Tribolium castaneum: one gene and its partners. Each later gene encodes a partner of the first gene's protein in a complex. Links are inferred from orthologs where the notes say so. Each region holds a gene or a part of one and is shown in the gene's direction. Other genes may lie near its edges.

What was found. The genes of interacting proteins can lie anywhere in the genome.
Region 2: tho2 (region 1) and thoc5 share a complex: the UniProt entries of both Homo sapiens proteins name them as parts of the transcription/export (TREX) complex. The link is inferred for Tribolium castaneum from reciprocal best matches to the Homo sapiens genes THOC2 and THOC5.
Region 3: tho2 (region 1) and thoc6 share a complex: the UniProt entries of both Homo sapiens proteins name them as parts of the transcription/export (TREX) complex. The link is inferred for Tribolium castaneum from reciprocal best matches to the Homo sapiens genes THOC2 and THOC6.

Annotation. Positions count from the first base shown.
Region 1 is NC_087402.1:8,544,658-8,549,157, reverse strand, and holds the start of tho2 (THO complex subunit 2), read left to right. Parts: upstream 1-1,487; 5' UTR 1,488-1,580; coding exon 1,581-1,642; intron 1,643-1,824; coding exon 1,825-1,990; intron 1,991-2,039; coding exon 2,040-2,174; intron 2,175-2,225; coding exon 2,226-2,341; intron 2,342-2,868; coding exon 2,869-3,256; intron 3,257-3,305; coding exon 3,306-3,625; intron 3,626-3,675; coding exon 3,676-4,500. Other genes in the region: serine palmitoyltransferase 2, read right to left, coding at 775-828, 882-935, 1,065-1,301. UniProt on the Homo sapiens protein: Component of the THO subcomplex of the TREX complex which is thought to couple mRNA transcription, processing and nuclear export, and which specifically associates with spliced mRNA and not with unspliced pre-mRNA.
Region 2 is NC_087399.1:3,175,819-3,180,318, forward strand, and holds the start of thoc5 (THO complex subunit 5 homolog), read left to right. Parts: upstream 1-2,055; 5' UTR 2,056-2,154; coding exon 2,155-2,238; intron 2,239-2,289; coding exon 2,290-2,427; intron 2,428-2,479; coding exon 2,480-2,694; intron 2,695-2,742; coding exon 2,743-2,827; intron 2,828-2,873; coding exon 2,874-3,546; intron 3,547-3,868; coding exon 3,869-4,369; intron 4,370-4,418; coding exon 4,419-4,500. UniProt on the Homo sapiens protein: Component of the THO subcomplex of the TREX complex which is thought to couple mRNA transcription, processing and nuclear export, and which specifically associates with spliced mRNA and not with unspliced pre-mRNA.
Region 3 is NC_087395.1:25,800,131-25,804,119, forward strand, and holds thoc6 (THO complex subunit 6), read left to right. Parts: upstream 1-1,933; 5' UTR 1,934-2,114; coding exon 2,115-2,227; intron 2,228-2,273; coding exon 2,274-2,663; intron 2,664-2,708; coding exon 2,709-2,871; intron 2,872-2,920; coding exon 2,921-3,241; 3' UTR 3,242-3,273; downstream 3,274-3,989. Other genes in the region: DNA oxidative demethylase ALKBH2, read right to left, coding at 1,702-1,717; protein rhomboid, read left to right, coding at 624-797, 850-1,170, 1,218-1,553; uncharacterized protein LOC103314375, read right to left, coding at 3,555-3,976. UniProt on the Homo sapiens protein: Component of the THO subcomplex of the TREX complex which is thought to couple mRNA transcription, processing and nuclear export, and which specifically associates with spliced mRNA and not with unspliced pre-mRNA.

The DNA of each region.
Region 1 (4,500 bases):
GATAGTTCCTTCCGTTATCAAACTTGGTGTTACCAACCAGGCATAATTAAAATAAAAAATAACGAGTATTTTCGCCACCTTCAAAACCTTGACTTTATTATTACATTATTAATTTCAAAACAGAGCTGTTAAAATTAATAAATTAAAAAGTACAATCTTGAGTGATAGTGCCGTGCGTAAATATTTACACGTACAGGAAATAAACTGTATGCACCTCGTTAAATAGAATTATTTGTTGATCTCAAGGAGGAATGTTTAACTACTGGCGCATGCAGATTCAAACTTTCCGAGCGCTTTTCTGGGTCAAATAATGAATCTGTGTGCACATGTTGAAAGAATTATCTCACAAAATAAAAGCTTTAGTGTTAACGACAAGGTTTAATGTGTGTTATTAGCCGTCTCATGGCCTGAACTACTGGAAAACTAACAATTATCGAATTTTACGTGTTTATACGTTGTAAACACATGGTAGAGATTATGTTTATGCAGCTAATAGATATTCTAATCAAGAATAAACAATTTGGTTTATTGAAAATAAATGCTTGGATTGTACTACGAAGGTGAAAGTAAATGAGTATATGCTGTAATATTTGTCCCGTCCTTATCTAAGAATTCGTGTTACTTAATCTGCAGATAAGGACGCCTCATCGCGTTCTCAGAAAATTTGAAAAAAATTTAAATGATATTGCGTTGCGTTGTTGGAATTTTTTGAGGAAAATAAACACTGCCGCGAGTAGCAATAAATAATTTCGACGGCGTCAAAATTAGACTCACGTTTTTTATTGGTCCCTTCATGTTTTTGGCGGTGCATTCCTCGTCAGACGATGCCTGCAAAATAATTACAGTGAGATTTAGAAAAATGTAGGCCAGTGTTTAATTACCAGCACATGTCCATTCTGCTCGGATCCTCTGTACACGTTCCTCTTATTGATGCACTGCAAGGATAATAAATTATTAATAATAAGGATCAATTTCATTTGGTCAGCACTAATGAAATGTTAATAGCTTGATGAGCCACCCAAAAAGCCGGAAAACGTGCCGAGTATCCACAAATAATTATTCACCGTATATCCATTTGCGTAGCCTCCGGAGTAGGGGCCGTATCCGTTCGAAATGACCTTTTGGTGTTTGGTATTTTCGAAATCTACCCCACTTAGTAGCTCTGTCACAGCATCACCTGCACCCTCTTCCATTCTCGCTTCTATACTGAGGATTTGAGGACGCATGCGTCCACATTTTACAAACGCAAATTTTTTGTTGGTTGATTGCGACTCGCGTGATACCGTGAGACAACCTTGCATTCAAAAACTTGCGGTCTTTCCGAATTTTCCCCAAATAACAGAAACTGAACAACCGTAAACTACATCCACTCGGACGTAAAACCGCAAGCAAAAAACGCAATTACTACATAATTCTCTACAAAAAAAATTTGATTGTTCTTAACCACAATTCCGAAAGCTTGACATTTTGCCCAAAATTTGGTGCTTTTTGCTCCAAGTTTCGAAAATCTGGGGTCTTTGGTTCGCTGTTGGCAACGCGTGGGCGCCCATGTTGGGAAAAATGACGCTTGGTTGCTAAAAATGGCAGGTGTTGTTAGTAACGATGTTTGGAAAAGTTGGGAAAAATCGGGAAAAACAGAGTTGTAAGTGCACATTTCACTGAAATAATGTGGTTAGGTTCATTTGCTCGAATTTTGCATCCGTTTCGTGTGTTAATACGTGTGGGAATTGCAAACACGAGTCAATGTCCACACGTTTGTGTATTGTTGATTTTGCGTTTAATTCTATAATGAGTGGTCAACGCTAAGGTTCCTGCTTATTTCAGTGTTAAAACATGCATGCAGTTGTTGAAAGATGACACCAAGTCCCCGGTTTTTGACAAAAATGGGAGAGTCTCAAGTCTCATAACCAACATAAATATGTTGATTGACAAAGGACTCAAAGGGCAGTTGAAAGTGGAGGCTGTTGTTTCAACGCTCCAGGAGCTTGTTGTAAGCTTGTTGTAGTCAAGAGTCACAAAAACTCAAGTTTTTTTTGCAGTCTTTACATCCTGATGTTCCTTCGGTAATTTTAGACGTTTTAAGTATCACAGACTCTTCTTGCATACCTGATAGCAGTAACGACGATTCAAAAGAAAGGAACAATTTGTGTTTTATCATAAAAGAATGTGAAAAGGTAACGTCTTAGCCAAATGTTAGAAGCTGATCTAATTTTCAGAAAATTTAGTTGCTTTCAGACCAATTGTTGAAGGAACGGTTAGAAATAGACACGCTACAAGAAGTTGGCATCTTGAAAAACAAAACGTTTTATTCAAAGTTTATTAAAGTGAAGACAAAACTATAGTAAGTATAATTCTAAGTTTGAACCGCACAACGTAGGGAAAATTAATTTTGGAGCACAAAATTAGTTTTCCAATGACGTGCTAGAGCAAGTGCATTAAGACTGTCTCAAATAAGAGAAATATTTGAGATTTTGGATGATGCTAACAAGTTACAAAAAAACAAAAGTTTAATAGGTGATTGTTCATTGTTAAAGAAAAGATAGTTTATATATTTTTATTACACAATGTTATAATGAGTTTGGCACTGCAATTACATAACACATTTAAAAAAAAATGACACTTTGATTAAAAATTTGTCTTTATATTATCTATCGTAAATTTTAGTTTAATTTATGATTTGTCAAGTTGGACTAGTAATAAATTCTACGAAAACAATTTACATTAAATTACGACAAATACGAGTAATAAGTGCAAATATTATAATGCGATGTCTGCGCTGTTATCGACTACATATTAACACATTTTATTATTTTTCTCAAAAACGGTACATTTACAAAAAAATCACCTATAAGTGAATTTTATTTTTAGCTACAAACAGCGCAAATTTAACTTATTTCGCGAGGAATGTGAGGGTTTCGCAAAATTACAAACGGAATTGAACCAAGAGTTTGGCGAAAATACCAGTCATGAGGACGTCCTAGACATAGTTCAATCATTAATTGGTTGCTTCAACCTCGACCCAAACCGAGTCCTTGATATAATTCTGGAGAGTTTTGAGAATAAACCAAAAGACGCGCGAATTTTCGTCCCTCTAATATGCTCGTATATGAAAGACCCGAAAATCGTGAGTGAAGTTCTAGCATCGAAATTCACTTTTTTGCGAAGTAGCGAAACAAATGTTCCTCGATCTCTATACGTATTAACGGCGCAGTTGTTACAACATAACATTATATCACTGGACGACATTTATCTTTGGGTAATGAAACGATTTTTTCAAGACTTGTTGGCTCATGGTTGATTTATAGTTAACACCTGAGGATAAAATCATGTTTAAAGAGTGTGATAAAGCGATGAAAGATGCAAAAGAATACGTGCGTAAGCTACAAGTGATCTCGATAAATAATAAGGAGAAGGAAGAAACGCCCGAAGAGCCGGAAAATCTCATGGAAAAATTTAACGCGAACCAAAAGTTGGGGCTTTGCGAGGCGTTGCTTTCAGTCGGTGATTGGAACAATGCGAAAAATTTGATAAATCGTCTGCCTGATCACTACGCACTGTCATTCCAACCGATCGCGTTAGCACTGTGCAAATTGTTGCATTACATCGTTGAACCTGTTTATAGAGAGTAAGTTAAGTGTAGGGTTAGCTGTGAGGTTTCCACATTGGTTGTTATAGATTTTGTAAGTTGGGACCAAAAATCAAGGGAAAACCTATCCCGCGCCATGAAAATCCCCTCAGCCCGAAACAAGCAACCTCATTTTTGGAACTTCGAGATCATGCCATTCCTATGTTGATTACTTTAGGAGCTTCGCTCCGTTTTGATCCCGTTTTGATGTACAAAGTGATAAGAATTTCCAAAGCGGCGTTAAATTCCTATGGAGTAGAGTCGTCAAAATCGCCTTGTCCGTCTGGTGATACGTTATATTACGATATTTTGACTTTGTTGGACACGACAATACTGTCGTCACTCTCGTACATGGATTGCAATTGTTGCATCGCAGAGGAAGTGTGGACGGTCCTCAAACTCTACCCATATCAGAATAGGTACTGTCTTTACAGCCGGTGGAAAAACGAGACGTATTCTTTATACCCCGACTTGTTACGAAAGCGCGGAGATTCCGAAAAACAAATCAAAAATATCATGAAACGAGTCAGTAAGGAAAACATCAAACCTGTAGGCCGCCTCATTGGCAAACTCACCCACTGTTCACCGGGATTTCTGTTCGATTACATTTTACTCCAAATTCAAGTTTATAGCAATTTGATTCACCCAGTGGTCGACTCTTTGAAATATCTGACGAGTTTATCGTACGATGTTTTGGGCTTTTGCCTCGTTGAATGTCTAGCGAACGCCGACAAGAAACGGGTAAAACATGATAGCACTTCGATCTCTTCGTGGCTACAAAGTCTCTCGAGTTTTTGTGGCGCTGTTTACAAAAAATACATCATAGAATTGACCGGGCTTTTGCAGTATGTGGCCAACCAACTTAAAGCGCAAAA
Region 2 (4,500 bases), on another chromosome or scaffold:
CCACCATTTTTAAACAACGTAAAAGTGGTGTAAAAAGTCAAAGTCGCTCTCTGGTGGCCAATTCTGATGTCAGTCTTTTGCAAAATAGCGTAAAATTTAATGTGACATCAAATGTGATAATTAAACGACAAGCAAAACGTGAAAAATTAGCGCTAGCCCGGCGCATCCACCATTTTTGAACATTGAAAACCTCGCTAAAAATACTTAATAAGTAAATTCTTCGTTAAAGTTAAAACTTTTGCGCTTTTTGGTGATCAGTTCTAAGATCAGTCGTTTGCAAAATAGCGGTAAATTTAAATTTGTGTCACAAATTCTGTGACAAAGTTGAGATTTTACCCGAAATTATTGCTAACCCGGCGCATCCACCATTTTTAAACAATATAAAAATGGTACAAAAAGTCAAAAGTCGGCTCTCTGGTGGTCAATTCTAATGTCAGTCGTTTACAAGATAGCGTAAAATTTAATGTGACATCAAATGTGATAATCAGATAACAAGAAAAATGTAAAAAAATAAATGTTATCCCGGCGCATCCACCATTTTTAAACATTTTTTTATGCCAGAAAAAAATTAGTAATGTTAAACTTAAGGTTGTTGCGCTCTTTGGTAGTCAATTCTGAAATCAACGTTTGCAAAAAAGCGTGAAATTTGAGTTTTGACATAAAGTTGAGGTTTAAAATATGATTTGAATTTAATTTTTAGCTTACCAATTTTTTCAACTTATTTTTCAATAAAAATCGTTTTTTTTTTTAAAATATCCCTTGGTTTTCCACTGTAAAAAAACAGGATTCAGTGACGAATTATATAGTAAATTTTCGCATTTAATCATTTTTAAAATCCTCTTGAAAATATCAGTTTATAATCGAATATAGTGCGGTAAAACTTTTATTAAAATAGTGGAGTGTTAAGAGCGTAACGAGTTTGGCAACAAAACTGTTTACCTAAATGAAATTCAAAGCAAAACACAAAAACACTTCATTTATGTTTGCGCAGTTTTAATAACGTTTAGCGGTGTTTTATGCCTCGAAACAATTACGAAATAATTAATCTAATTTTTTTATTTTTAATAACAAAGCTTGCAAATTTATATTTTTTGGGGGAAATACATCAAAGCTAGATGGAGCCACTTCTGGCGGCGCATTCAAATGGCGAATAAATCCCCATGCCGTATTTTACTTTGTCCCAATTGTCTCAGAACGTTTTAAAGTCGGCGTTTTCTTTTTGCGGCATAAACCGTCTGTCTAGAAAATTAAGAAATACCTCGGTGAACTAATTCGCGTAAAGTCGTGCGGAAAGCTTTTCGTTCTCTTGTATAATGTGTTTTCGGACAGGCGATAAAATTTTATCGTCGTCCAGCAATATTTCCTACGTGTGATCCTATGTAGTAGTTCTGACGCGACACCTTTTTTATCATCTTGAGAACCCGTCCACATCCTCGATAACCAATACAAGAGAAACGTGCCACTGCAAACCTGGTCCTTAGCAAAATGGATGAGTAGTCAAGAACATCCAAGTCCTATCTTAACACTGCTCGATTTTATACCTGGAGAATTTTACGAGCGCTCGCGTGTAAACAACACTTGGAAGGAGATTGAAAAATACTACAAAAAACTATTAAATTACGAAGTTTACACGATTAGAATAGCTCCTGTTTATTGGGCCAAGTAATTATTCGGGGACCGATAATTGCTTTAATTCGGGCGGAAAGCGGCAAGAAGTGCGCGATGTTTAATTAAAGCAGGTAAAAACGCGTTCAAATTTCGCGCCATTCACAATTCACCCATATTTAGTGAAATAATCACGAAAATCGCCCTTAATACAATAGTGATTACCATTTACAGTCTTGATATTAAAAAGTGCGATTTTATTTTTTTTAATGTTTTTACACGAACGACAAGTCCGGTACTCTGAATGATTATATAACGACCCAAATGTTACATAATCCGATTACGTAACAACTAATAATTGAAATTATCCAAATTATTTATAATATAAGTCGCAATGTTTGGATTTTGATTTAAAAACACAGAAATTAATTCGTTTAAACCAAGATGTGGTGTCCTGAAACAAAATGGCGTCTGTTGTCTGTCAGTTTGCGCATTTCTAACCTCAAATTTTTTGTCGGCTTGTTTACATAATCTTTTTTGCTTAAAAAAATGGTTAAAGAGTCAAGTAGTTTGAAAAAAAAGCGCAAAAGTGGGACTAGTGCCGACAATGAGGCCGAAATCGACATTTATAAAGTAATTACGCCTCCCTAATTTTGGTTATCACATTTATTGATTTTTTTGCAGAAATCGGTCGAATTTGAGGAGAAAGAGGCCCTCAATCGACCGAACGATACCGACGCTCAGATTTACTTCAACACGTGCAAAGAAATTCGGCATTTATTCGCCGAAATAAGTGAACTGAAAATGAAGAGTGGGTCTGATGTAAATTGGAATTTTGTCGCTTTTTTGTATATTTTTTGGGTGTGCTTTGTAGGTCAGGGCTAAAATTACGGAAAAAACCACCGAAGTGTGTCTATTATTGGTGCTTTTGAAAAAACTGAACCGCATGGAGAAGGTGCGTTTGGTTTTTCCAAAAGAACAATTGGCTGCGGAAAAACAAAAAGTGGACAGTATTAATTTACAATATCAGAACTTGTTGTACGAGGCTAACCATCTGATGTCGGAATATCGCAAATGTTTCCAGTTCAAGTAACGAAAACCCCCTTTTTGTGTAAACCCCCCAAAAATTTCTTTCAGGTCTAAAGACGAGCACATCGAGCTGGTCCCCGTTGAGGAGTTCCTCGCCGAAGCGCCGAAAAATTTAACGACAAAATTCAAAAAAGTTGGTTTAATTTTTTTAATTTCAAAAACTTTAAAAAAAATTTTAGTTTGATGAAACCGACGAAATGGCGAAGCACGAGCTGCGGCTCGCGCGCCTCGAGTGGGAGCTCCAGCAGCGTATTCATTTGGCCGACATGTGCAAAAAACTTGAAGAGGAGAAGAAAAAACTAGAGGGGGATATTGCCGAACGTCGCAATAAATTGGATAAATTGGGGCCCCTCTTGTCTTCGGTCATGGAGGCCACGAAACCGGTGCAGGAGCACCTGGGGCTCCACATTGACAAGATCCAGGCTGAACACAAGCTTGCCTCGCTTCTACCCAACCCCCTTTACTTGTTTTATGCCAATATTGACGCCTACAGACAGGTGAACGACTCGGGGATGAGTGTGGAGATTATGGGGGACCAGGAGGAGGCTAGTCAATGGAAGGAGTTGGAGTTGGCAGAGGATGAAGAAGAGGAGGAGGAGGACATGGAACCGGAAGCTGAGATACAGGAGGTGGAGGAAATTGTCGAAACGAAGAAACGGCGTCACCGGAAGTCGGTACATGTTGATCCACTTGAGGAGAAAAAACGCAAGTTGTTACAAGTTCACCCGCTTTCTGTACAAGTTACTGTCACTACTAAAGACGGTCCTTCAATTAAAATTCGACTAAGTTATTACGCAAAATTGGAAATCGTCACTGTATCTTCAAGCGTCAATATTCCGAGCAATATTACAGGTACTTGACCCACTATCTACAAAAATCCTCTTTTAGACAAAAAAAAACGGATAGTTACAGGTATTTTGTGAATGATAAGGAAAAACAACATAAACTACACCTTTTTTACTTGGTTTGTTTTCCGTCTCTATTTACAATTGAGTCATGTCCTGTTATTATCGGAATATGCTGAAATTTTGCATACTCACGTAATATCCGTGAGCGTGAGCAGCAAAAAATTCTTCTCGCTTTTAAAGGGAAAATCATACTTTCTTACTTTTTTACTATAATGGAGGAAAAAATGCAAATTTTTTTTAGTGACCCCCGAGTGTCTTTCTTACAGGAAACGCAGCTCGTGAGGTCTTATCAAACGAAAGCGTCCTCGTGGAGCTGGTGGAGGGCGACTTCGGGCTGGACAGCCCCAACCCGTGCACCCCTTACCAACTGAAAAAAGTCGGCTTGGGGTCCTTCCAAAGCCTCGTCCCAGAGCTTGGCTACGTCTACACGTGGGCGCAAAAAATGTGCGGCATTGATTTTTTGAATAAAATGTCCGGTTCGGATCAACTGAGCCAAACTAACGTCGAGTCGGTCATGAAAACAATAAAAAAGCGCCTAAAGTCGCGGTATGCCTTGGCGAAACAATTGGAGGAGTTGGAGCGGAATGTGATTCCTGTTTTGCCGGCTAGTGTCGATTTGCCGCGAACCACGATTTCGAGTCTTACGAAATGGTCATCAGGGACGTATCAAAGCTTTTGCGAGGCTAAATTTACGGAGGGTTTGCTAGAAGCTGAGTTAATTTCGCCGAATGATATTTTCTATAAAGCGACAATCACGCGTGATAAAGGTAAGTTTGGTGAGTCACGTGATTAATTAGTGTTTTTTTTGTATTTTAGCAAATTTGCAAGCTTTTGTTGTTATCAAGAACGATTATCCGTCAATTCCACCAATTTTTGCGCTTTGTTTGAACTATAACGG
Region 3 (3,989 bases), on another chromosome or scaffold:
TTATTCTACTGGCCTTTTTTATTTTATTATTTTTTTATTTTATTGCTCTTAAAACGTCATGGCCACCCTAATATTTAGGTCACCATTGACGGAAATACAAAAATAAGAATTTTTTCGCTTACTTTGATAAGTAAACATAAAAATGTAAGAGTAGAAAATACGTGCAAGTTTAAACTTTAAATGTAAATAAAAAAAATACATACATATTTTGGGGCATATTTACAATTAAACCAAACTAACAACATTCTTATCTTGTTTCATCGATTTTATCACTTTTATCTGGCATTTCGCTTAAAACCGGTGCAATTACTTCATTAAATAAATTGTCAGTAGGTGTATCAATTACAGAGGAGTCATGTCTAACTATTTTCACTCTCCTCGAGAGTGAAATACCTTCTTAAACGCAAGTTTTTTGTTTTTATAACTTTAACTATTTATAGTTGGTTCAGTTTTATTCAAACTGTATGCGGAGTAGATGCCGCATAATAATTGCTCAAATAGTACGACACAAAATCGGGCCTATTTCCCTCCACTTTCGGACATGTTCCAGTAAGTACCTAATTTATTATCACACACAATTTTAATTAATTAAGTTTTCGACCCAAATTTGGTAAATTTTAATTATGCCACCGTCGCAAAAAATCCAAGTGAAATTAACCGACCCCATCGACCCCTTAATCGAAACCGAGCAAGTTTTTATCCCCTTTCCCTTATCACAAGAAGTGAAGAAATCGTCGCAATGGGCCGCTTGGGCAAGAAACACACCTTTCGGTATTTTGTCAGTCAGTGTTTTAGAGGTAAACCAGATTTTTGCATTATTTTTAGCTAATGTTTATGGTAATTCACCAGATAATCTTCTACGCTGCCTCGGATGAAAAAACCCAAAAACTGCTCCGCTTCGAACCGCACAAACTGACCGAAATTTGGCGATTCGTCACCTACATGCTTTTGCACGAAGACTGGATCCACCTGACTCTCAATATTTTCATGCAAGTGCTTTTCGCCTATTTTTTAGAAGCGCGACACGGAAGCGTGCGGATTCTTGTTTTGTACGTGACCGGGGGAATCACCGGAGTCTTGGGAGCGGCCTGTTTTCACCCCGACTTGGTCATTGGGGCCTCCGGGGGCGTGTATGCGCTTTTAATTTCGCACATTTCCGATATTTTTCTAGTAGGTATAAAGCGAGCGAGAAACAACATTTTTGTAATTTTTTTCAGAACTTTGAAACCTTGAATTACAAAATCTACAGATCTGCGTGTATCGGAATAATCGTCATTTTCGACATTATCTACAACGTGTTACATGCCAATTTTAAAAAGGAGCCTTTGATATCGTGGGGGGCCCACATGATCGGGGGCCTCGCAGGCCTGTTTTTGGGTCTAGTGCTCTTCAAGCAAAAACCGTCAATTGCACGCACACGGAGATTAGTTTTATTTTTGGTGGGTTTATTACTTTACGTAATTTTATTGATCTCGCTTGTAATAATAACCGTTCAGATTAAAAAATGTACTCCGAAGGATGCCATACGCAAGCGGTATGTTTATTTTTGCTGATATTTTTTTTATAACGAGTGTTTGGCTATAAATGTGCGGTAGCAAAGTAAAGCGTGAAATTACACAACTTATAGATGTTTGCGGCTATTTTTAGACGTTGGTTTTGTAAAAAAGTGAAAAATAAACGATTAAACAAACTGCTGCTTACTTGGTTGCACGCTCATCACAACACCACTAGCTCAACTGAGATTTTTTTAACGTTTTTAACACTTAAATCTGCGTTTTCTCGTTCTTTTTTTATATCTATACAAATATGTGTACGTTTTAAGGTATATTTTTTACGTTTGTTTTAGAGTTTATAGTATAATATGTTTAATTATGACATAAAAAAAACATAAATAAAGTTAGGTATGCAACTAACTTAACCGCGTTGCATGTTAAGTTGCCTGTATTAAGTCGATTGAGGTTATATTGTTTAATGTTTGGGGCTGTATTTATGTTAAATACACGTTTGCGCCCTTTGTAATCGTATAATTGGTAATAAAACCAGACTTTGTACAGTAATATTGCCTATTAAACGTGCGTTTAATTCACAAAAAGTTATTTTTTCTTAACCTCAAAATGGTGAACAAGTTGAATAAATCGTTCTATAACACTGTTTTGAGCCAGACTTTCACCCCGTGTGGCAACTATCTCGTCGTAGGTGACATTTACGGCACAATTTCGGTCTTCCAGTAAGTATTAAGTAACTTCCAGCAGCCCCCTGAACCCCAGTTCCAGCCTTTCCAAGCTAACAAACCAAGGATCTTCGATCACAAAAGAAGACCAACTGCCCAAAAACGCATTCACGATTAAAGAAGACGTCCAAATCAACAGTTTATTGACCATGAAAGCGTTCCTTGTTGTGGGGACAGTTGGCGAGATTTTGGGGTACTCCTGGAAGAACGTCAAAACGAGCAAAAAACCCTCCTGCTCGTGGACAATTGAAATCCCGAACTCCAAAGACAGTTTCGACAAACCTGACGTTAATTGTTTAGTGTTTGAGCCCGAAAATAATTTATTATTTGCCGCCTGTGGCGATAATAATGTTTACGTTTTCAACATCGAGACACGAAAAGAAGTGCGGTGTTTTAAAGGGCACAAGAATTACGTTCACTGCATCAATTTCTGGTAAGTGATTACAGGAACCTGTACTTTGGTCACATGGCATTTCAGTAACAATAAACTGGTTTCGGGGGGCGAAGACGGGCTTGTGCTGCTATGGGATGTGAGAGGAGGCCCCCCAGTGAGCAAAATCGAGCCCCACAGTAGGGATAAAGTGGCCAGGGTGGAGCTGGGGCCCTGGATAGGGGGCGTTGGGATTAACGATGATTGGCTGGTATGTCAGCAATTTTGGGCGAAGTGGCCCCCCTTAAATGATTTTTTAGTTGTGCGGCGGCGGCCCCCGACTGTCTTTATGGCACTTGCGCTCCCTGAATATCGCCACAGTGTTCCCCATTGACGATAAAGGGATTCATGTGGCGGAGGTCTACCAAGACAGGATTTTCGCAGGGGGGCGCTCTAATTTATTCTACCAAATGAGTTTTAACGGGGACATTATCACGGAAATTCCGACGTCTCCTGTGACCACGTACAGTGCGGTGCATCAGGATGAGCCCTTCCAGACTTTGTGCATTGCGGGGTCGAGCCCCAAAATCGACGTTTGTAGCAACTTTATCTACAAAAATTTGCAACTATCTCTGTATTAAGTCTTTAGTAAAATAATAAACCATAAATAATTCGTCCAGAATTTGAATTTGACAGCTGTCATTGATGCTCTTTAGGTTAGGATAAGGTACCGTTAAAGAGTCAAAAATCGCTCGAATGTGACCCCAAATCGTTTATAACCCTTATTATTTTTTTAAGAACAATTAAGTTACAGTATGGCCAAGTTTGAGTGCTCAAATTGGCGTATTATTGTGTGAAATCGCAAATTTCATATTTAAGTTGGCAGGACTGTATTAAAAGACAATTTAAACTGTTTGAAATAAATTTTTAATAAATAATTTGTACAACTTTTATTTACAAAAATCCGTGTCCGGCTATAACCGCCGGTATGAACCCCTCCTCTCCCTCCTTGTTGCGCACCCAGAACCACCCCGGCACATGGGTACCCTGGAGTACCACAACGTCGCCTTTCTGCACCTGAAGGGCATTTTTTTCGGTGCCAAAGTAGTCACTGTTGATGACTAGGAGTGTTTGTCGTTGGATTTTGCCACGTTTTGAGGATGCCAAAGCGCTGAGGTAGAGTCGATCGACGCTTCTTTCTTCACAGGTGCTTGAGGGGCGCAGTCTTCGGCTGTGGCAGCGCGTCTCGACGCTACATTCCGACTTGGAGCTGAGTTTTTCGGTGTCGGTCATGTTGCCGGAGGGTTTAGGGAACACATCGGTGCTGTTCTCCCAGCAAGGGGCGGTGGCGTCGTCCTCAGGGGGTGGGATAATGCCTGATATAATTTT